6 linked regions of the Oryctolagus cuniculus genome follow. The protein of the gene in region 1 interacts with the protein of each later gene in a pairwise test. Links are inferred from orthologs where the notes say so. Each region holds a gene or a part of one and is shown in the gene's direction. Other genes may lie near its edges.

The links.
Region 2: the proteins of MKRN3 (region 1) and SFN interact in binary tests that used the Homo sapiens proteins (3 or more experiments, as listed by UniProt). The two-hybrid records come from large-scale screens. The link is inferred for Oryctolagus cuniculus from reciprocal best matches to the Homo sapiens genes MKRN3 and SFN.
Region 3: the proteins of MKRN3 (region 1) and ENKD1 interact in binary tests that used the Homo sapiens proteins (3 or more experiments, as listed by UniProt). The two-hybrid records come from large-scale screens. The link is inferred for Oryctolagus cuniculus from reciprocal best matches to the Homo sapiens genes MKRN3 and ENKD1.
Region 4: the proteins of MKRN3 (region 1) and POLR1C interact in binary tests that used the Homo sapiens proteins (3 or more experiments, as listed by UniProt). The two-hybrid records come from large-scale screens. The link is inferred for Oryctolagus cuniculus from reciprocal best matches to the Homo sapiens genes MKRN3 and POLR1C.
Region 5: the proteins of MKRN3 (region 1) and FAM110A interact in binary tests that used the Homo sapiens proteins (3 or more experiments, as listed by UniProt). The two-hybrid records come from large-scale screens. The link is inferred for Oryctolagus cuniculus from reciprocal best matches to the Homo sapiens genes MKRN3 and FAM110A.
Region 6: the proteins of MKRN3 (region 1) and UBE2K interact in binary tests that used the Homo sapiens proteins (3 or more experiments, as listed by UniProt). The link is inferred for Oryctolagus cuniculus from reciprocal best matches to the Homo sapiens genes MKRN3 and UBE2K.

Annotation. Positions count from the first base shown.
Region 1 is NC_091443.1:13,380,333-13,384,353, forward strand, and holds the start of MKRN3 (probable E3 ubiquitin-protein ligase makorin-3), read left to right. Parts: upstream 1-1,221; 5' UTR 1,222-1,342; coding exon 1,343-2,890; 3' UTR 2,891-4,021. UniProt on the Homo sapiens protein: E3 ubiquitin ligase catalyzing the covalent attachment of ubiquitin moieties onto substrate proteins.
Region 2 is NC_091438.1:144,640,943-144,643,783, reverse strand, and holds SFN (14-3-3 protein sigma), read left to right. Parts: upstream 1-1,356; 5' UTR 1,357-1,459; coding exon 1,460-2,206; 3' UTR 2,207-2,341; downstream 2,342-2,841. UniProt on the Homo sapiens protein: Adapter protein implicated in the regulation of a large spectrum of both general and specialized signaling pathways. Binds to a large number of partners, usually by recognition of a phosphoserine or phosphothreonine motif.
Region 3 is NC_091449.1:50,907,477-50,911,546, reverse strand, and holds the start of ENKD1 (enkurin domain-containing protein 1), read left to right. Parts: upstream 1-1,270; 5' UTR 1,271-1,371; intron 1,372-1,519; 5' UTR 1,520-1,534; coding exon 1,535-1,619; intron 1,620-1,710; coding exon 1,711-1,878; intron 1,879-2,281; coding exon 2,282-2,454; intron 2,455-4,070. Other genes in the region: C18H16orf86 (uncharacterized protein C16orf86 homolog), read right to left, coding at 1-168, 533-741, 939-1,034. UniProt on the Homo sapiens protein: Microtubule-binding protein which regulates microtubule organization and stability. Promotes the stability of astral microtubules and facilitates the proper orientation of the mitotic spindle.
Region 4 is NC_091436.1:126,548,517-126,552,812, reverse strand, and holds the start of POLR1C (DNA-directed RNA polymerases I and III subunit RPAC1), read left to right. Parts: upstream 1-1,496; 5' UTR 1,497-1,557; coding exon 1,558-1,626; exon of another isoform or gene 1,627-1,657; intron 1,658-1,737; coding exon 1,738-1,809; intron 1,810-2,106; exon of another isoform or gene 2,107-2,173; coding exon of another isoform or gene 2,174-2,254; intron 2,255-2,997; coding exon 2,998-3,105; intron 3,106-3,314; coding exon 3,315-3,447; intron 3,448-3,669; coding exon 3,670-3,789; intron 3,790-3,871; coding exon 3,872-4,024; intron 4,025-4,178; coding exon 4,179-4,296. Other genes in the region: protein YIPF3, read right to left, coding at 180-286, 459-656, 1,169-1,249. UniProt on the Homo sapiens protein: DNA-dependent RNA polymerase catalyzes the transcription of DNA into RNA using the four ribonucleoside triphosphates as substrates.
Region 5 is NC_091442.1:26,831,843-26,835,806, forward strand, and holds the start of FAM110A (protein FAM110A), read left to right. Parts: upstream 1-1,164; 5' UTR 1,165-1,402; intron 1,403-3,964.
Region 6 is NC_091433.1:33,602,561-33,605,608, forward strand, and holds part of UBE2K (ubiquitin-conjugating enzyme E2 K), read left to right. Parts: intron 1-2,250; coding exon 2,251-2,350; intron 2,351-3,048. UniProt on the Homo sapiens protein: Accepts ubiquitin from the E1 complex and catalyzes its covalent attachment to other proteins. In vitro, in the presence or in the absence of BRCA1-BARD1 E3 ubiquitin-protein ligase complex, catalyzes the synthesis of 'Lys-48'-linked polyubiquitin chains.

The DNA of each region.
Region 1 (4,021 bases):
TTAATTAGTGATATCACTTTAAAAATTTCTAGTCTGGGTTATTCGAACTTTGTTCGTTTTTTCTCAAGTAATTTGGTACAAATTTATATTTACTTAATTAGGATTTAATTTGATGACATGGATAAATGTGTCATAAATATTCAGACTTTTTCACTTTAGAATGGAAATTTAAGTTATAAAAATTTCCCTCTAAGAAACTTATTCTAGCAAATACAATTCGTCAGCACATCCTAACACGGAAGGATTAATTATGAGACAAAGAATAAATCAAATGTTTGAAATGCTGGAAGTGCTAATGATCACATTCAGGGCATTAAAGGGAGAGGGAGCATAACCTCCTTAGAAACGCAGAGAGCTCTCCTGTAACATTCAGCAGACAGCCGCGCGCCCCTGAGCAAAGCAGCAGCACAAAGACAGTGACTGTGAAAGGAAAGGGAAGAAAGCAGCTCTCACCGTCAGGGCAGCGGCCGAGCCTGAAAAGCTGTGCTGACCCCGCAGCCTCAGCCTCGCTCGCTGGGCGGAGGGAACAAAGGCCACCAAGAATTAAACCAGCCGGGAAGAAAAGCCGGGTCGCGCCGGGGGCAGGAGCCTTGCAAGTCCCACAAAGGACGCCCTCGGCCGGGGCTGACAGCCTCAGCCACACGTGCTCCCTGCTCGCGTTTCCTCCAGCAGCCCAGGCAGACCCTGCAGCAAACAAAGACCCCAAGAAACGATGTCTGGTGGCCGCCGCGCAGCGCACAAAGCCCCCGCAGGGGCAGCCAGGGGGCAGCGGGACACCACAGTGGAGACAATGCGCGGTGCGCAGACAAAGGCGGTGTAAAATCCACGCAGGGCATGCTTCAGAAACTGCAGGATTAGCCCATCAGCACGTGGAGAAGCAGCGAGGATCGTGAACTTTCTTTACGCAGACACGTTTGACAAATAATCAGAAGTGCATGGCAGAAACTAAAGACATGGAATTAAAACCTCATCTGCCAGAGGAGACAGTGTGGGAGGGGGGCTTGGGGTCTGCGGGAAAGCAGCAGAGCAGGGAGCGACGCCAGAGGAGGGGGCGCGGAGCCCGCCTTTGCCTGTGTGAACAAAGGAGCTGTCAGATTGGTCGGCCGTGGAGACCCGGCGCCGCGCGCTGCCGGTGCCACCACAGGAAGTGTCCGCCACGCTGCCTGCAGGGGAAAGAAGGTAGGAACACACAGTCACAGGGAACAGAGAGTGGGGGAAAGGAAAAAAAGGTGCACACTTCCCCCAAAGACACCTCCGTGACCGTCCCGAGCTCCAGGGCTCAAGCCCAAAAGGAGACAGCACCGGGGAAGTTCCCGAATCGTTTCTGGGAGAAGAAGCTGCCATGGAAGAGCCTGCAGCTCCCTCTGGTGCCCAGGAGGCATCTGGGGCCCAGGCAGGGGCTGAGGCAGCAGGGGAGGGTGCATCTGGGCCCAGCCTCCCTGAGTGTGAGACCTCTGGGGAATCTGTGGCTCCAGACACAGCCCCTGCTCGCGCGGCCTTGGGCCTAGTCCCTCTCCGTGTGGCTCCCAGCCCAGCCCATCTGCGGATGGTGGGCCTGAGGCACGTCCAGGCCGCAAGGGGAGGGGCCAGGCCCAGTCACCTGCCGAGCCGGAGCACTGGCAGCTGGACAAAGCAAGTCGTCTGCAGGTATTATCTGCATGGGCTGTGCAAGGAGGGGGAGAACTGTCGCTACTCTCACGACCTTTCTGGCAGGCAGGTGGCCCGAGAGGGCCATGGCGCACCGCCCCGGGCCTCTGCAGACAGAGGCCCCAGCATGGCTGCGCCCAGCCAGCCCCCAACTCAGGAAGTGGCGGAAGCCGCCCCTGCTGCATCCTCAAGCTCCTTGCCTCTGATTGGCTCGGCTGCTGAAAGGGGTCGCTTCGAAGCCGAGTTGGAATGCGCTGGTCAAGGGGCTGTCGGAGGATCAGGTGTAGAAGGCTGGGAAGAGGCCGTTGAGTTTGTTCCCGGGCAGCCCTACCGGGGCCGCAGGGTCGCTTCTGTCCCCGAGGCTCCTCTACAGAGCTCGGTGACTGAGAGAGAGCAGATGGCTGTGGGCATGGGGCAGCAGATGGCTGTGGGCATGGGGATGCAACTTTGCCCTCACGCTGCCAGGGGACAGTGCTTTCGTGGGGAGAGCTGTATGTACCTCCACGGAGAGATATGTGACATGTGTGGGCTACAGGCCTTGCACCCCTTGGATGCCGCTCAGAGGGCAGACCATAGAAAGGCCTGCGTCGAAGCACACGAGAAGGATATGGAGCTCTCGTTTGCCGTGCAGCGCAGTATGGATAAGGTGTGTGGCATCTGCATGGAGGTTGTCTATGACAAAGTCAACCCCAGCGACCGCCGCTTTGGCATCCTTTCCAACTGCAACCACCCCTTCTGTCTTAAGTGTATCCGTAGGTGGAGACGTGCCAGACACTTTGAGAACAGGATCGTCAAGTCCTGCCCACAGTGCAGAGTCACCTCCAACTTTGTCATTCCCAGTGAGTTCTGGGTGGAGGAGGAGGAAGAGAAGCAGAGACTTATTCAGCAGTACAAGGAGGCGTTGAGCAACAAGCCTTGCAGATATTTTGCCGAAGGCAGGGGCCACTGCCCGTTTGGAGAGCACTGCTTTTACAAGCATTCATACCCTGAGGGCCAGGGAGAGGAGCCTCAGGGGCGGGGTGGTGGACCGTCGGCCGCATACTGGCATCAACTTTCGCAGCCTGTGCAGCTGGGAGAGGGCAGCCTGCTCTTTAAAAGCAGTAAAAAGGAGCTTGTCACGCTTCGGCTGGCCAGTCTGTTGTTTAAGCGGTTTCTTTCACTGAGAAACGAGTTCCCCTTCTCTGAGGAGCAGTGGGACTTGCTTCATTATCAGCTGGAAGAGTATTTCAACTTGAATCTGTAGTATCCTGCCACACTCTGATCAAGTCTGCTGGGGCTTTGTCGTCTGCTGTTGGCTGTTTTCCCTTTATTGACATGCCTGTCACTTTCAGGGGCTGTGGTGGCGACTTTTATGCAGTGTTTCTCTGTTTTCTTGTCTATGCCCCGAATCTTTCCCCTAGGGTAATGGTGGTTTCATGTGTTAAAAAATAGTAAAGAATCCTTAAAGTTACTGTTTGGTGGAGCTAATATGACTGTTGCTTTGTGGGGTTTTTGTCATGTCTGTTTTTCAACAAAGTTCACTCAGTCCTAGTCTAGTGTTTACAGAATTTCTACACTCATTTTGAAGTCCCTCAAGAACAAATGTGACAGGGTGAAAGGGAAGTCTTAACTGGAAGCTTTTTGCTACAGTAGCCTTAAGAAGTGGACACTCGCAGGGCCTTGCTTGTTTTTGTTTGTTTACATCACTGCTCCTTCTGGCATCTCTTAAAGTGCACTTGTTAACTTGTGGTTACTTTGTGATTTCGTGTTTTACTTGAACAAAACCAGGTGCAAATGTTTACATGTTTTTATCCTGTTCAACTTGATGTGAAGTTATTTTATTTATATTTGGAAGTATGTGCTTAAAAGTGATATATTATATATGCATATTTGTGTATATTAGCTCTGTATTGGAAAATTTATATAAAATATACATCGTGATGTATATGTTTGCATAATAAAATAAATGCAGAGATGAAAGCTGAGGTCAAGGGATAGCAGGCTTGGCTGCTGTGTGAATAATCTTTCCCTTGCACAGATGTCACTTTTTAGCACCTAATGAAAACTGTTGTTCAAGTGTAATGCCAAGTGTAACAGATACAAGTCTTAAAGGATATATGAAACATGACATTGGTAATTCCTATGACCTCACTGTGCTGTTATAAATACAGAAATGTGTACTTCCATGCAGTAGAGCCAACAGCTCATTCATTATAACATAAAATCCTGAGCTCAGACATACAGTTGTTCATTTTCATTTTTTAAATATTATTTTTATACTTTGAAAACGGGCTTTTCATAAATTTATCAAAATAAAGGTAATAAGCATACAACATGTAAAATAGAATAAAATACTAAAACTAGTTAGGATATAAGATTGGAAAGATAAAAGAAT
Region 2 (2,841 bases), on another chromosome or scaffold:
CCCTGAGTCCCAGCTAAGCTTTGGCTAGGGGCAGGGCAGCTAAACAGGAACCCACCCTCCTTGGCTCAGTGCCAACGTGAAACTCGAGGACTGGGTCCCCACACGCAGGGACAGAGGTTGGCGACGGAGGTCTCCAGCTCCGACACCTCTGCTGTGGTCAGAGCTGGGGCCGTGGTCAAGTGCAAGGGACATGGAAACTTCTGGGAGACAGGCTGGGGGGAGGCGTCACTCAGCTTCCACGGCTGCCCCATAAAACAGTGTGTGTCAGCGCCACCTCCTTCTCCTCGGCCCCGTCTCTCCCCGGGGTTGCCTGCGTCCCCCCTGGGGGACCAAACTGGACTGAGCACCCAGGTGGCCTGCTTCCCAGCCTCTGACAGAGGACAAGCTGAGTCAGGAAGGAGAGTGGGACCCTTCGTGAGCCCTGCTGCTCTGTGATGGCAGGCGGCGTGGAGGGGGCAGCTGACCCGGCCTGGAGAGCCTCATGGGAAGTCCTCCAACAAGTGGCAACAGGCCACCGACTTGAAAGGGAAAATTGTGCTGTGAAGGGGAAGGTGTCCGACGAACCTACTGGGTGACTAATTACGCAGGCCCGGCTGGAGCCTCGGAGGCCGCTCGTTAAACACTTCGTTAAGTAGCACCCTGATAGCTGCCACCCTTCTGGGAGCATTTGGGAGCTCGGAGGGGACCCTGCATGGCTGAGGCCCTGGGGCTGGAATTGTCTCCCAGTAGACTCAGGAAGAAGCCTGGCCTCACTTCTAAAAGTCTGGAGCTCCCCGGTCAGAGGGGGCAGGTGACCTGGCATGCAGAGCCCATAGGAGAAAAGCCCAAGGAAGCTGGGTGCAGGAGAGAGCTGCAGGGACTTGGCAGCTGTGTGGCCCTGAGCAAGTCTCACAGCCTGAGAGTGAAGAGGCTCCCACACCACGTCAGGGCTGCACACCTCACAGTCACGGTGGGGACTGCACCCAGTGAGGACTAGGGAAGCGCTTGGGTTACCTCGCCTGAAGGGGGGGGGCAGTGCACCTGGCCGGATTAGCAGCCCCATCTTCCTGCACCCACCTGAGCCCACAGGCTATGCCAAAGCCGAAGCTGCCAGGTGGCTGAAGCCGTCCTTACCTCCTGGCAGCTTCCTAACGCGGGTGCTGGACAGGAGGGGGCAGCCTGGAGCCCAGCAAGGTGCCCGCACAGGTGGGGCCCACGCCCAGATTTCTCCTGCTGACTGTTCCAATGACTCACCCCCACATCCCGGCCCTTTTACCTTTAAGGAAGAGCCGGAAAGGGTGTGGGGAGAAGACAGGGAGGCAGGTCCTGGGCCCCAGTCCCGCCCCCCCGCCCCTCCCCACCCTTGCCTAGGCCAAGCCACCCAGCCAAAAGGCAGGTTGAGAGCAGCAGAGGCACAGAGTCCAGCCTTGGTCCCCAGGCAGCCAGCTCGCCCGCCGCCCGTCTCTCTGTCCCCAGAGCCATGGAGAGAGCCAGTCTGATCCAGAAGGCCAAGCTGGCCGAGCAGGCTGAGCGCTACGAGGACATGGCGGCCTTCATGAAGGGCGCGGTGGAGAAGGGCGAGGAGCTCTCCTGTGAAGAGCGAAACCTGCTCTCGGTGGCCTACAAGAACGTGGTGGGCGGCCAGAGGGCGGCCTGGAGGGTCCTGTCCAGCATCGAGCAGAAGAGCACGGAGGAGGGCTCGGAGGAGAAGGGCCCGGAGGTGCGCGAGTACCGGGAGAGGGTGGAGAAGGAGCTCCGCGGCGTGTGCGACGCCGTGCTGGGGCTGCTGGACTCCCACCTCATCAAGGAGGCAGGCGAGGCCGAGAGCCGCGTCTTCTACCTCAAGATGAAGGGCGACTACTACCGCTACCTGGCCGAGGTGGCCACCGGCGACGACAAGAAGCGCATCATCGACTCGGCCCGCTCCGCCTACCAGGAGGCCATGGACATCAGCAAGAAGGAGATGCCGCCCACCAACCCCATCCGCCTGGGCCTGGCCCTGAACTTTTCTGTCTTCCACTACGAGATCGCCAACAGCCCCGAGGAGGCCATCACGCTGGCCAAGACCACTTTCGACGAGGCCATGGCCGACCTGCACACCCTCAGCGAGGACTCCTACAAGGACAGCACCCTCATCATGCAGCTGCTGCGAGACAACCTGACGCTCTGGACAGCCGACAACGCCGGCGAAGAGGGCGGGGAGGCTCCCGAGGAGCCGCAGAGCTGAGCCGCCCGCCGCCGCCCTGCCCCCTCCGGTCCCCGACGCCCCGCGGAGAGGACTACTACGGGGTGGGAGGCGCCCCCCTTCTCCCCCTCGCTGCGCCGCCCCGGCTCCCAAAGGCTCCCTGGAGAAGGGAGCCGCTGAGCCGAGGCCGCCCGGGGGTCTCGCTCTCCCTGCAAGCCGCGGGGCGCTCCCAGCCCCTGGCCGCCCCCCCACCCTGCTCTCCGCACCCCTTCCCCTCCCGCCTCGCCTCCCTCCTGCCCCTGCGGCTGAGCGCGGCGCCGGGCGGCAGAGGCGGGAGCTGGGGTGCGCGTGTGACTGTGAGTGAGCGAGAGGGAAAGCGTCTGTCTGCCGGCGGTGACCGGCTCGGCTCAATAAACTCCCCGTGACACTCAGTCCTCCGGTCTTCTGCAGTTATTGGCGCTGGGCTGGGAGATGGGTGGGAGTGGGCTTTGCACAGGCCCCGATTTCCCCCGCGGCTGGCCCAGCGGCCCGCGGGCGAGACCTTGCGGGGGCGCAGCCAGGTTCGAGGCGGGGGCCTCTCCCCGCTCCGGGTGGCCCCACACTGGTCTGGTCCCGGGAGGGGCGGAGAGCAGAGGCAGCACTGAGGCGCCTCCCTCGGGCTAGGGGAGCGGGTGCCT
Region 3 (4,070 bases), on another chromosome or scaffold:
TCTGAGGGGGCAGGCACTGTGCTGGCCATGGCGGCCAGCACAGGAGCCCCAAGACTCTTGCGTTTCTTTGCTTTCTTGTGCTGTTTCGGGGATGGTGAGGGCTCACTCTGGCTTCCCTCCGACTCCTCCCTCTGCAGCAGTAGCCCTGGTGACAGCTCAGCTTCAACCCTAGGATGGGCATGGAGACTAGAGCTGGGGAGGCTGGGGGACTGCAGCCAGGGACAAGGGGCCTGCCAAGCCAGCCCCCAGGCCCTAGGCCTAGGGAAGAGCCCTGCCTACCCACCACCCCAGGGCTGGTTACCTGTCCCTTTCCTGGTCAGTGAGGCCCCAGGCCCAACCGGGGCCCAGAGCTCATGTGAGCCAAGTCCTCATCTCCCGTGGTGCTCCCCACAGCAGGAAGCAGAAAGGGTTGAGGGCACTGGTAGTGGGAGGAGACAAGAATCTGCTCTACAGGAGAGCAGGACCTAGAACCCCACTAGGGTGTGAGCCCCACGCCTCAGCCCTGCGGCTCTCTCCCTGGAAGCCTCCTCACTTGACTGGCTTCCTCTTGGGCCCATGACCAGGCCTCATGGGGGAGGCCATAGGCCTGGGGCCTTTCTCCTCTGGTGCTTCCACCTGCGGCTTGAGCGCTCGTTCCTGGAGCTCTGGCTCTGAGGCATGTCCTCTTGGACACCTGTCTGCACCTGGGGTCCTGCAGGCCTCGTAGGCTGGCTCCAGGCACTGAGCTTCCATCACTGGGCACTAGAAGTGACACATAGGCAACTGGTCACCATGGTTAGGTAGAGTCTATAGCCATAAGTCAGCTGGTGCCCAGCATTAGCCACCAAACACGGGGTGGAGGGCACCAGCCCATGCCCAGCCCCAGCTTGGTCATCCGGAGTCCGGTCCCCCAGTGTGGCACGGCCAGGGTGTGAAGGCTTCACAGCCTTGGCCATCACCTCAGAGCGGCCACTGGGTGCCTTCACGAGCTGTGCCGGCCCCACGGCCACCCCTTCCTGGGCTCCTGGCGGCCTCTCCGCCCCTGCCGAGGCCATGGCTGCGCGGGGTCAACGCGTCCTCGCCGGTTACCTACGGAGAGAAGGGAGACGAGCCATGAGGGGCTGCACTGGTGGGCCCTGAGCTGACCACAGAGACTGGCTGGGAAGCGAGCTGCGAAGGGAAATTGGTGGTCGCCCCACCTGCCCTCGGCTGGAACTACAAGCCCCAGAAGGCCTTGCGCCAGGGTCACTGCCCCTGACCTCAGGGACGGAAGCCATTCGTTGCCTGGCAACAGCAACTCCCTTCGCGGTGCTGCAGCTGGCGGCAAAACTGCTAGAGTGAGCCGGGCTCGGGGGTTACCGGGAAGAGGCCGCGAACCCCGAAGGGACGTGGGTTAGCGGCGGGGCGGGAGACGAAGGGGGCCGGGAATGGGGGGCACTGCCATGGTCTGGGTCTAGGTGGAGGGAGGAGGCGCAGGGCTGGGGAAGGGAGTCCCGGGCGGGAGGTGCACAGCCTGGCAGGCCTCGGTGCACCGTTGCAGGGCGTCGAGGACAGCATGTGCGAGGGCCCGTCCCGCATCTCGGGGCCCATCCCCCCAGACCCCACGCTCTGCCCAGACTACTACCGGCGGCCGGCCTCAGGTGAGTCGGGGGTGCTGCGGAGGGGGCAAGGCCCGGGATCGCCTGCCGCTCCACCGCTGAGCTCCGCACTCGGCCCTGTCCCGCCCCTCAGCCCAGGGCCGCCTCGAAGGAAACGCGCTGAAGCCGGACGCCACCCCACCCCGCGGGCCCCGCATCAGGCCCGGAGGCCGAGAGATCTTGGAGCGTGGCTGGCGAGGCGTAGGGGGCGTGCTGCTGCAGCTCGAGGGCATCTCCCTCAGTCCGCGGGTCTCGCCCAAGAGTAAGTCCGGCAGAAGGGGCAGTGAGGCAGTTGGAAATCAAAAGCGGCTGTCCCTTCCCTGACCTGGGCCCAGGCTTTGCCTCTCTTGAGCGTCAGTTTCCCGCGGGAGGGAACCTCATTAATTCATGCATCAAAACGTGTTTCCTGTGTGGCAGGCCTTGTGGGTGCCAGGAAAGCAGGGTCGTAGGCAAGGTGGGAGGCAGTAAGTGAAGACATGAGGCGATCCAGGGTATTTACTGAAAAAATACAGAAAATAACGAGGGGAGATTTACATGCAGGCAGGGGAGCGAGGGGAGGTCTGGTGTGTAGACAGCGTCTGGCAGACACAGAAACCGGGAGATCTTTCTGGAGAGGGCGGGCAGGGAGCTGGTCAGGGCAGAGCCTGGGAGCACCTTTCCCCCAGGGAAGGACCCTAAAGACCATGAGAAGGAGAACCTGAGGCGGATCAAGGAGATCCAGAGACGCTTCCGGGAGCAGGGCCACGGCCGGGAGCAGGGCCAGCCCCAGCCGCTGAAGGCTCTGTGGCGCTCACCCAAGTATGACAAGGTGGAGTCTCGAGTCAAGGCCCAGCTGCAGGTACCCGCCCCAAGGAGCCGAACCCTGGCCTGCACTGTGGGGAGGGAGGCACCTGATGCTGTCATGGCGTGGGGCTGGGGTCACTTCTCAGAAGTGGTCATGGCTATGCTGGTCATGAATGGCAAGTAGGGATTGGGCAAGGGGAGAGTAGTATAGAATATTCCAGAAAGAGGGCGGGCGTGTGGCCTAGTGGTGCAAACGCTGGTTCGGAAGCCTGTATTCCACATCAGGGTGGGTGCTGGGTTCCGTCCCCAGCTGCGGCTCTTTGACCCCAGGGAGGCAGTGGTGAAGGCTGCTCCACCTGAGGGACGTGGGTCGCACTCCTGGTGCCCAGCCTCAGTCATTACAGGCACCTGGGGAGTGAACCAGGCAATGGGAGCTCCGTCTCTCTGCCTCAGGAAAGGAAAAGAAAAAAAAAGCAAAGTGTAATTAAAAGAAAAAAAAATAAAGAACATGCCACAGAGATGGAACCTCACAGGCGGGAGTCCGGAGACCAGCGGGAGCAGGCAGTGAAGGTGCCAGGTTCTCTGCTAGCAGTGTGGCTCCCACTGGGAGAGGGGAAAAGCATGAGGTTAGGCCAGGAAGTCAGCCGGAGCTACGTCATAAAGGACCCCCAAGCCGCTTCCCTTTTTTTCTCCCTCCTCCCCTCCCTTGCTCTCTTTCTCCACTTCTTCCTTCCTCCTCCTTTCCGAGAACCAGAGCGCTCCCATGTGCTGGGTCACTCTCCGAATGCCCACAGTGGCCAGGCCAGGAGCCATCACCACTGCCTCCCAGTGTCTGCATTAGCAGGAAGCTGGGGTCAGCAGCCAGAGCTGGGGATGGAACCTAGGCACTCTGATGTGGAACATGGGGTCTTAACTGTCTAAGCCACTTTCTGGAAAAATTGGATTTATTTGACAGAGAATGCTAGATCCTCCATCCATTGGTTCACTCCACAAATGCCTGCAACAGCTGAGGCTGGGCCAGGCTGAAGCCAGGAAACCAGAACTGAATCCCATATGGGTGGCAGGGACTCAAGTACTTGACCATCACCTGCTACACACACACACATACACAAACATACACACACACAACCCCACACACACCCCAGGATGTATATTAGCAGGAACCTGGAATGAAAAGTGGAGCCCAGACTGGAACCCAGGCACTCTGATAGGGGATGCAGGCATCCTAAGCAATGCCCTTTTTTAATGATTATGGTATTTTCAAAAATGACTGCTTATTTTCATTTACTTGAAAGGCAGATTGAGATATAGAGACAGAAACAAAGGGAGCTTCCATCCTGTGGCTGGGACTGGGCCAGGCAGAAGCCAGGAACCTGGAACTCCATCTGGGTTTCCCTAGTAGAAGGCAGGGTCCCAAGCCCTTGAGCCATCATCTGCTGGCTCTCAGGGTGCAACAGCAGGGAGCTGGACTGGAAGTGAGCAACCAGGACTTCAGCTGGCAGTCTGATATGGGATGCCGACATCTCAAGCGGCAGCTTAACCCACTACACCACCATGGCCACCCCACAGGCAGGGTCTTCACTGCTGTGCCAAATGCCCACCCCGAAGACACTTTTCAAACGCTTACTTTGAGGACAGTGGAAGGGTAGGGCAGGGGTATCATGGTAGGAT
Region 4 (4,296 bases), on another chromosome or scaffold:
ACGAGGCGGGCTGGGGCTCAGAAACGCAGAGCAAAGGAGGCGACACTTGAGCTCAACTTTGGAGGAAGAGGAGTAGAAACGAATTGGTGCCCTGTGCGGGGAGGAGGGGTGAGGGCGTCAGGAAGGACAGCAGAGCCCAGGGCTGGGTGAGGGACCGGGGCTCAGGAGGTGAGCCTCACCTGCTGCGCACCTGGGCAGGCTCCACATCGAAGTAGGGTCTCAGGATGTCGATGTTGGCATACAAACTGAAGGCTCTGGAAGCTTGTCTCTTCCCGGCCTGCCACATCTGAGCGGAGATGCGGGGATGGCCCGTGAGGCTCCTGGCCCTGGGGTCCTGCTCCCTAGCTTCTGTCGGGGTTCTACTGGGCTCCAACTGGGGCAGCCTGAGGTCAAGGTCACCCACACGACTCCAGATCGCGCAGGTATCCTGCACTTGCCAAGGATTCAGCCCCGCTTACCTGGTCAGCCACCTGCCGGCTCAGCTGCCCCTTAAAGCCCTTCATGCCCAGGAACTCCCCATCCTCCTCTTCCGCAGCGGCCGCGTCGGCGTCCACTTCTTCCTCGCGCAGGCGCTGGTGCAGCTCACCCATGTCCTCGAAGCTGGAGCCCGAGGTGTCATCCATGTTCTCCATGTCAATCACGGCAGAGCCCCCACCCTGTGAAGGCAATGCCTCCTACAGTGCAGGCCTTTCTGGTCCCTGCCCCGCTGCTGGCGCCGCGCCTCCGAATCCCCGCACATCAGGCCACTGTCACCCCTCACTTTCTCTCAGAACCCCCTGGCTGCTGGTTCCGGCGCTCTCCTCTAGCCCGAGAAGCCACCTACTTGTCTTCCGCTCATGCCTTTTCCCCACCTTCCCCATCAAAGGCCCCGAGGGTTTGCAAGGCGCAAGCAAGACCATGCACACAAGATGTTTCTGGCGAGTGCCAGCGAATCCCGCCCACTGCCCCGCTTGACCCCGATTGACCTCCTCTTCTGTCTCTCTTCCTAACGCCTCAGGCGCGTCCAGAGACCCGAGGCCCTCCGGCCGGCACTAGCTTCACTGACTTTCCCGTGCACGAAGACCCAAAGGGGAGAGGAGTGTTGCAAATGGAGGAAGCTTTCGGGCCCCGAGGGAGGCTTCCCCAGACACGTCGGGGTGGCCGGCAGCCGAAGCGCTGGGGCCATTACCTGGATGTTTTCTTCGAACCCGCCCCATTCCGGGCCGGCCCCGTTTCGAGCGCCGCCGGCCGGCGCCGCGGTGGCTGCCATGTCCCTGGAGGGCTCCCGTCCCCGAAGCCAGCGCTAGCCCCGCGCGCGGAGGAAGAGGGGGCAGACGTGGGCCTGAGGCACGGAGACGTCCAGGGCCGAGGACAGGCGCCACCAGCCGGAACGCAAAAAAGAGAAACCCGGATGTTTGGCCCAGACAGACTTCCGGAAGTTGGGGACGTGGACGGAGGCGGGGCAAAGTCTCGCGATACGTCGGGCTCCGGGAGGCGGTGCGTTGCCACGGCGACGGAGGAAAGCCGCTAGAACGCACGCGCAGGCGTGAGGCCTTAGTCTCGTGGGGGAAGTCGAAGATGGCGGCGGCTCAGGCCGTTGAAGAAATGCGGAGCCGCGTGGTTTTAGGGGAGTTCGGAGTTCGGAATGTAAGCCTTGTGGCCTTGAGTTCAGAAGGAAGTATGAGAGGGACGGGTCGGGATCAAAGTGAGGGCGGGCTTGGCTTCGCTGCCTCTTCACGGACGGACCCGTATCTCTAGGTTCATACCACCGACTTCCCCGGGAACTATTCCGGTTATGATGATGCCTGGGATCAGGACCGCTTCGAGAAGGTGCGTGGGGCCGGAGTGTGATCGGAGCAGCCCGGGCTTCCGAGCTGCTCCCAGGGGTCACTCACGTGGCAAAACCAAGTTTGCTCAGCATCCGACCGTGTCCTGGGCGCTCCTTGCACACCGGGCTTCTGCCTTGTTCTGCGATCGAGCTGTTCAGGCCTGTACAGGTCATTCTAGTTGGATGCGGTGACGGCGGCTGAGAGTGGGGGTGGGGCACCCCTCAGAGACGGTCTAGACTGGGGCAGAATCATAGGATTCCCTGAAGGAAGTGACATCTGAGTTTGAGCCCTGAACGGTGAGTGAAGGTCGAGGAGGGAGGAGTAAGCGAGCTAACTTGTAAAGACGGGGTGGGCGTGTCCCTAGAATGTCCGAACCGCGCATTATTGATAGAATGTTACACTGGCCTGACGGCGGGCACTGGGGGTTCTTGAGCAGGCGTGACCAGGTGATCCGGTTTGCAGCTTTGGTGGTTGAGAAGGAGGAGAAGGGGCGGGCAGATCGCTAGGCAGTGCTGGGGGAAGGAGCCCAGGAGTGCTTTGGTGAGAGCGGTCAGGACTTTCTGGCTGTGGGAACTCATCTGACGGCTGGCGGTGCCTGGGCAGTGGGAACGATGACCCATTCGGTTCCCCGCGGTGTGGAGGAGCTAGCAGCCCAGGAGAGCGTTCGACAGAATGTGGGGAGTTGTCCATAGTAGTTGCTAAAACCGTGAGTGTGGTTGATGTCACTTTGGAGAGAGACAAGAAGCTGGGGACCGGTAACACCTAGGTGGTGGGTGGAAGGAGACGCAACTCCTCAGATGGAGGACTGGTGCCCAGACACGGAGGAGATGGGGTTTGAGAAAGGAGTTTTTTTTTTTTTTTTTTTTTTTTTTTTTAATTCAATGCCAAATGTAACATTAGTAAGAAAAGAACTGAGTCCTGTCAGCTGGACTAAACTGTATAGAAGTTTCTGCTCTTCATAGAATAGCTTCTGGCTCAAGCCATATTGCATAGGATTTTCAACTAGTGGCATACAAAACTGGGGGCATTGTTCAAGAAACTAAAAGAACAGAGGAAGAAAACATCAAATGAGGCTTTGCTGGGCAGAGGAAGGCTTCTGGGGGAGCGGGGATGTTCCGTGTCAAGGGGGAGCTGTAGCCAGGTCACACCAAGAGCAGGCTCCATCCACTTGTTTTTCCTTTGCCTCTAGAACTTCCGCGTGGATGTGGTACACATGGATGAAAACTCGCTGGAGTTTGACATGGTGGGAATTGATGCGGCCATTGCCAATGCTTTCCGGCGAATTCTGCTGGCGGAGGTATCAGCGGGGCCGGTGACGGCTGGAGCGTGGGGAAGTGTGCCATCACCTCATCTGTCAGTGTCTCAAGTTGCCCCCCCCCCCCCCCCCCGATTTTGTGGAGTGTTTTGCTTTAAGTTTTTATGAGGCATTCTTCTAGGAGTTGTCCATCTCAGGAGGTGGGGAGTCTGCCGGGTTTTTATAGACGGGTAATCCTGGTCTCTGGGTAGGTGCCCACAATGGCTGTGGAGAAGGTACTGGTGTACAACAACACATCCATCGTGCAGGATGAGATCCTGGCTCACCGCCTGGGGCTCATTCCCATTCATGCTGATCCACGACTGTTTGAATATCGGAACCAAGGTGAGGGCCTGGGAGATGAAGCTGTTGGGGGAAGTGGAACCGCTTTCTTCCTTAGTAGATCCTGGGACCAGCTGCCTGGGTTCGAATCCTGGGTTGACTCTTGTGGCCCTGGGCAAGTGACTCATCATCTGTGGACGAGAGGAGCAGCACACGGGTAGCACTCGGCAGTGTCTACCCTGATGCTCACTGCTGCTGTAAGGGCCGCCTCTTCCCTTTGTGCAGGGGACGACGAGGGCACAGAGATAGACACTCTGCAGTTTCGGCTGCAGGTCAGGTGCACTCGGAACCCCCACGCTGCTAAAGATTCCTCTGACCCCAACGAGCTCTATGTGAATCACAAAGGTTAGTGGGCAAGGAGGGAGGCCTGGCTGCTGGCTGTGGGGGCGTCTCGGGGCTACAGCCCTCTGACTTGTCTTCCCTCCAGTGTACACCAGGCACATGACGTGGGTTCCCCTGGGGAACCAGGCTGACCTCTTCCCTGAGGGCACTATCCGGCCGGTGCACGATGATATCCTCATTGCCCAGCTGCGACCTGGCCAAGAGATTGACCTGCTCATGCACTGTGTCAAGGGCATCGGTGAGACCCGTGGGCCGCCTCAGGTGCAGGGCGTAGCTTAGTCGCCGCAGGAATCCAGGGATGCTCCTGACCGGCAGAAGGCGGTGGGCTTGGGCTTTCGCGCTCAGTGGCTCGGGAGAGGATTCCCCCAGGCTGATCTCTCCCTTCCCTGCAGGCAAGGACCACGCCAAGTTCTCACCAGTGGCGACAGCCAGTTACAGGCTCCTGCCAGACATTACCCTGCTTGCACCCATAGAAGGGGAAGCGGCTGAGGAGCTGAGCCAGTGCTTCTC
Region 5 (3,964 bases), on another chromosome or scaffold:
AAGGGCCTGGAGGGTGAATTTAGTCTAGTGCCCTTAAAAATGTCTTTTTTTTTCTTTCCCCCTCTTGACAAGTCCACGTGATGGACTTTAGGAAAACCCGCAAAGCCCTGGCTTTGTGGTACAGTGGGTTAAGCTGCAGTTTGCAATGCTGTCATCCCACAGCTGGAGTGTTGGCTCAAGTCCTGGCTACTCTGCTTTCCATCCAGCTTCCTGTTAACGTGCCTGGGAAGGCAGCAAAAGATGATCCAAGGAGTCGGGCCCCTGCCACTCACATGGGAGACCAGGATGGAGTTCCTGGTTTCTGGCTGCTGCCTGGTGCAGCCCTAGCTATTAAAGCCATTTTGAGGACCTCTCTCTCTCCTCTCTCTCTCTCTGACTCTGCCTTTCAAATAAATAAAGTTTTTTTTTAAAAAATGTACAACAAAAACATTCAAATAAAAAGAAATTAACTACTATTATTATGTGATTATGCATATATACATATTGCGGTTACATATAATATGTATGCATAGGACTTTGAAGCAACTTTTAATAATTCAACATTCCGTTAGCATTTCACCATATCTTTAAATATATTTTAAGTGCATCATTTTGGTGGCTGCATACTGTTCCTCACCAGACCGTGGCGAAGGATGTGACGCGGGCCCTGCCGCGGTTAGGTTACACGAAGCCACTGGCACAGCGTGCATTTGCGTAACCAGACCTCCTGATAAGCGCTGCTGTTTCCGCATCATCTCACTAAGCCGACTACTGCTGGGTTACTACTGACATTTGCTCAGTTTGGAGCCACTTCCTTTGCAAATTTCGGGACGGCCGGATATGCAAGGTTTTAGAAAGACCTCTCTTCTGACGGACAGGGACAGGTCTGCGGTCACACAGCAAATTAGGGACAAAGACAGGACTAGGAACCTGCCCGAGGCCCCGACTAGTGCCATTTCCAGCTGGATCCCCAGAGGAAGGCCTAACCCGAGAAGTAGGGAGAAGACAGGAAAAGAGCCAGGCGCCAGCTCCCGCAGCCGCCGGGAGGACACCGGGCCGGCAGGGGCGGGGCTGTGAGTCGCCTCCAGCGCGCAGCCGAAGCTAAGCGGTCGCTTGGCAACCTGGGCGCCGCGGCGTTCGAACGGAAGCGAGGAACCAATCAGGAAGTCCGGAGCGAACCATTCCGGGGAAGTTGCGGGGTGGGGAGCGGCGGGCCCACTTCCCTTTCCTCCGCGACCCGGGGACCTTCGCTCCGGGGAGGCCTTCGGAAACACCGGGACACCTGCGCGTCTCAGGTGCCGCGCGCAGCTCCGAAGAGGCTCCTGCGGGTCGCCGCGCGGGGCTGGGACCTGCCTGCGTTGGGCGCGGCCACCCCCGGCCCGGGTCCGAGCTGTCAACCTCACACGCCTAGCGCGGGCTCCAGGTGAGCTCGGGGGTGGTCCCGGTTGCGAGCCCGGGTGTTGGGAGTTGCGTCCGCCCAGCGCTCCCGGGCGTCCTCCCCGCGTATGATCTGCGTGCCATTTCAGATACGGAAGCTGAAACTCAGAAGGACGAGGGTCCTAGGCCGTCTTTTTTTACCCCTGCGCAGCCGCTAAGGCTAGGCAGGTGCAAATTTGCCTTGAGAGGCCCAGAGGTAACCGGCGGTTGCTTTCCCAGTCTGTCCTCGGCACGGATACGGCCCTTGAACTCCTGGCTGGATTACCTTGCCCACTCGGCACCGTCCTCAGGAGACCCAGCGCGCCTGGGGCCCTTCTGCTGTCGGGGGTTCTGAATCCCAACACCCCCTCCCAGGGCCCTCTTTCTGGGGATGGGAGGGGACCGACGTTTCCAGGATAGATGCCAAGTGGGCAGTAGATTCTTGAACCCTCGGAGACGCTGTTGTCTTCTTGGGAACCTGCCTGGGGTCGGGAGAGGGGTTGAAGCAGTCCCTAAACACTGGGGGTGGGGTTGGGGCTGGGGCCCTCCAGGTGGAGCCTCTGAGCTGGGCCAGACCCTGCTCTGCCTCCTGGGGACCCCTCTCCCTGCACCTGCTCTTGTTGGTCTCCTTTGGTAGGTGGGGGAACAGCTTCCTCCTTGAAGGAGGTAGGCTCCTTGCCCGAAGTCACCTGGTCCATCTGGCTTCAGTCTTAGAATCCTCCACTCAGAGAACTGCAGAATTCGAATCCTGAATCTCATCACAAGAGAGTTACTTATTCTCTTCCCTTCTGGACCCGTTTCCTGGCTTTGGGGAGAAGAGCTCAGAAAATTCAGAAAGAAAAGCCTTTCATCCATTCCTTCCACAAATAGTTATTTATTTTCATTTTATTTGCAAGGCAGGGAGACAGACAGAGAGTGATCATCCATCTGCTGGTTCACTCCCCAGATGCCCACAACAGTCAGAACTGGGCCAGGCTGAAGCCAAGCGCTCCGAACTTCATCCAGGACTCCCACGGGGGTGGCAGAGTCCCAAGCACTTGTGCTACTTCCTAGGGCGTGGGTGGGTACTTCAGTATGGGCTGTGGGTGTCCCAAGTGGCGGCTGAACTGCTGTGCCCAGTGCCTGCCCTCGGGAAGTGGTTGTTGACTGCGTGTCCTACCCTCCCCTGATGTCTCATTTTCCTCGTTTGCTCTGTCCTGTGTCCTATAAATTCTGCTTGCTAGCGAGTTGATTATCTTCTCCCAGTAGAAGGCGATGAAGGTGGGGGCTGGGAGGAGGCATGCATCGCTGGCACACACTTCCTGCGGTGGCCGTGATCTCCGTCATGGAGTTAAGTGAAGTGAACCGGTGTGTTCCCCTGGTGAGGCACAGACTTGTGTGGCTCCTGGGGCACGCGGTCCTATCTCTGCTGCAATCGCCAATGCATCCCTTGGCCCCAGCCGCCCCATTTCAGGCAAAATGTAGGCGCAGTGACGCTGCAGCGTGGTTGGTGACAGTGGCTGTCAGTGGGGACCAGGGAAACAAATGGGGGGGGGTACGCTCTGTCTACTGACGTGGCAGCAAGAGCAACATACTGTGCGCCAAGGAAGAGCAGGTGAAAACAGTCTACGCAGCGTGGTGCCATGTGTGTACAAAGGAAATCATTAGTGTTCATACTTGCTTGGTTTTGCCTAAAATTTTTCCGGCCCCAGTGGTGCCTGTGGGGGGTGGTGGTAGTGAGGACAGAGGTGGAGGGAGTTGTGTTTTTTTTTTTTAACTTTATTTCCTTTATAGTTTGAATTTTGAGCCATGTGCATGCATTACCTCATTGAAAACAATAATCATACACACACACACACACACGTGTCTCATGAGACCGTCACTCTGTATGACTTGTCTCTGACTTGCTGTGTGACTTTGGCAAGTTTCTTCACATCTCTGGGCTGAGATGAGAAGCCAGGATGGTGAGCTCAGGTCTGAGCAGAGGGCAATCTAGGCCGTGAAGTGGGCTTGGCTGTGCGCCTGCCTCAACGGCCAGCCTCCGCATCCTGGGCCGGGCCCTTCCCCGAGGCCCTGTGTGTGGTGTCTCTCGTTCCATTCCCACTACGAGCCCCTCTGTCCTCATTTTGCAACCTCTGGTGCCAACTGAGGCCCGGGAGATTGGGTCCTTGGGGGCGGGCATGCGGGCAGGCCAGGCAGGAGTTCAGTGCCCTGGGCATCCACACCCACACCCCTCCCACAGCCTGCTCGGCTCTGCCTTCCTGAGACGAGGGCAAGGCCGGCTCCTGGGCAGGCCAGGGCACGAGCGTCTGGGAAGCCTCCAGAAATAGCTTGAGGCCTAGCGTGGCCTTGGAGGACGCCCAGCCGGGTGTCTCTGCCCTGGACAGCTGGGCTGAAACCGAGCTGCGGCTGCTACTGCTTGGAGCCTTGCTGATCCTCTGCTGGGGCAGGCGAGGGCCTCACCGTCTGCACCCAAGGCCAGGAGAGAAGCAGGTGGAAGGAAGGGGAGGGGCCTCCTGCCCACTCCACAGAGGACCAAAGTTCCCAGCACCACTTGAACGCTGACTATGTGCTAAGCACTTGACAAGTG
Region 6 (3,048 bases), on another chromosome or scaffold:
TTGCACTTAGTAATCCTGCCCTTCCTAAAGGTATGAACAGATACTTTGCTGTGGGAACATCTAGATGTGGTCAGTAAGCTGTTCTCTACCTCATTAGTCAACAGGAAAATGCAAATGCAAATTAAAGTGACAATTGGATACCACTGTGTACCTGTACATCTGCATCCCTCATACATTGCTGGTAGGAATGTGGCTCAGCCACTTAAAACCAGTAGTATCTACCAAAGTGAAACATAAAACTTTGGTAGCTCAGCAGTTTTACTCTTAGATATATGTCGAAGAGAAATGCAAAAACACTTACATAAGAATACACGCAGCAGAATACACCTGGAAATAACTGAAATGACTTATCAACAAGAGAATCAGTATATTGAGTATAATCATACAATGGAACACTAAAGAGCAGTAAAGTCAAGCACACTATTGACAGAAACAGTATGGATTATTTTCACAGATATGTTGAGTGACAAAAGCCAGACACACAAGAAGATATACTGTATGGTTAGCTTTTTTTGAAATTCAAGATAAGCCACAACTAATTTATGGTGGTGGGAATTAGGGCATTGGTGTGTGTAGGCAGGAGTTGGAGAGGGAGAGGAATGAGGCTTTTCAATGTTAGAAGTACTCTACATTTTGATCCATATGGTTACATGGACATAGACATGCATAAAAATCCATCTGGCTGTACAGCATTTTACTCTTCTTATACTTAACCAATTGTAACAAAACAAACACCATTCTCTTCATGTAGAATTGTTTGGAATGAACGTGGGTTAATTTTTGATCTTCTGGAAGATCCTTAACAGAAAAGTCGGTCAACAATATGAACAGTTAGATGGTTATTGTAAGACTTTATTGAGTACTTTGTGAATAAATAAGTACCCATATTGGCTATGCTTATCAATTTGAGCAGTATTAATACTTTAGATTTATCTTTTACTGACTTGTATCATCTACTAATTAATAAAAGTTAACACCTTTATTTGAAGGGCAGAGCTACAGAGAGACAGAGGCACAGAGAGAGAATGGTCTTAACATCTGCTGGTTCACTCCCCAGATGGCCACAGCAGCTGGAGCTGTGCCAATCCAAAGCCAGCCCCAAATTTCATTTTCTTCTTTGCTATTAGGATTTATTTTAATAGATTTAAACTATTATCACTGAATACTAAAAATCTCAGTATACCATGGATTTAATCAGTACTTTGTGAAAAGAATTAATGGAATAAAAAGGTTTTCAGTTGCATACTTTTCCACATTACTTATATTTTAAAATTAATGTAGAGGGGCTGGCACTGTGGCGTAGCAGGTAAAGCTGTCACCTGCAGTGCCGGCATCCCATATTGGCGCCGGTTCGGGTACTGGCTGCTTCACTTCTGATCCAGGTCTCTGCTATGGCCTGAGAAAGCAGTGGAAGATGGCCCAAGTCCTTGGGCCCCTGCACCTGCGTGGGAGACCCAGAAGAAACTCCTGGCTTCTGGTTTTAGATTGGCACAGTTCCAGCTGTTGAAGCCATCTGGGTAGTGAACCAGCAGATGGAAGACTTCTCTTTCTCTCTGCCTCTGCCTCTTTGTAACTCTGCCTTTCAAATAAATAAATCTTTAAAAAAGATAATAAAATATATGTAGAGCAGTCCAAAGCTTTCTATGCCTTTTTTTTTTAATAACATAAAAGATTGGTGTCATAAGAATAGGTTTTATTTTGGTATTACTTTTCTTAATTCATTCTTAAGACAGTGTCATTGCTTATAATTGATTTGGGTTCAGCTCAAAAACTTTACATTTAAAGATTCTTTTAGGGCCGGCGCCACGGCTCACTAGGCTAATCCTCCGCCTTGCGGCTCTGGCACACTGGGTTCTAGTCCCGGTCGGGGCACTGGATTCTGTCCCGGTTGCCCCTCTTCCAGGCCAGCTCTCTGCTGTGGCCAGGGAGTGCAGTGGAGGATGGCCCAAGTGCTTGGGCCCTGCACCCCATGGGAGACCAGGATAAGTACCTGGCTCCTGCCATCGGATCAGCGTGGTGCGCCAGCCACGGTGGCCATTGGAGGGTGAACCAATGGCAAAGGAAGACCTTTCTCTCTGTCTGTCTCTCTCACTGTCCACTCTGTCAAAAAAAAAAAAAAAAAAAAAAAGTAAATTTCCCTAACTTTGTAATTAAGATAAAAAGTTGCTGGTGGTTTATGTTTTATTCAGATCATATCCATTTTGCCTCACAAAACACAGGCTTCCTAACTGGTATATTTTCTTATTTTAGGGCAGCAGCAATGACTCTCCGCACAGTATTGTTGTCATTGCAAGCACTATTGGCAGCTGCAGAACCAGATGACCCACAAGATGCAGTAGTAGCAAATCAGGTACGATGGCTGCTTCTGAAAGATTTTCTTATACACATAGATGAGTCTGTACTTCTGTGGTTTGCGGTGTTAACACATGAACATATTCTATTGGAACTGAATTTGGAAAAGGTGTCCTTTCTTGTAGTAAGATTTGTCAGATGTAAAGATGAACATTTATTGATTAACATACTAGTTTACAGGTTTATGTGGTGGAGACTGTTTTCTTAATATATAAAAATGTTAAAGTCAAAAGAATTATATGATGAGCATCCATACCTGATTCCCATTTTTCATACATGACCCTCTGTGCCTCTGTGCACCTGTCCTTCCTTCTGTTCAGTGCAGATCTCTCCCTGGTGATCATTTCAGTCACTTCCTACCAGGGCTTCAAAGTGGCATGGCCGTGGCCTTGTAATTTGACAAATGGAAGAAATATTTTTCAGTTCTGCTCTTTGATCATTCTAAGGCAAGGGATCAGCGAATTAAGTTTTGCCAATACTTGATTGAAATAATGCCACACCATTTTGCTTACTCTGCTTTCCCACTCCAGGGGCAGCGGTGAACAGAGACTGTCGTCTGAAAGCACTAAATGATTAGTATCTGGCCCTTTAAAATAAGGGGAATAGGAGAGGGAGAAGGGGGTGGGAGTGTGGGTGGGAGCGCAGGTATGGTGGGAACAGTCACTGTTCCTGAAGTTCTGTTTATGAAATGCCTGA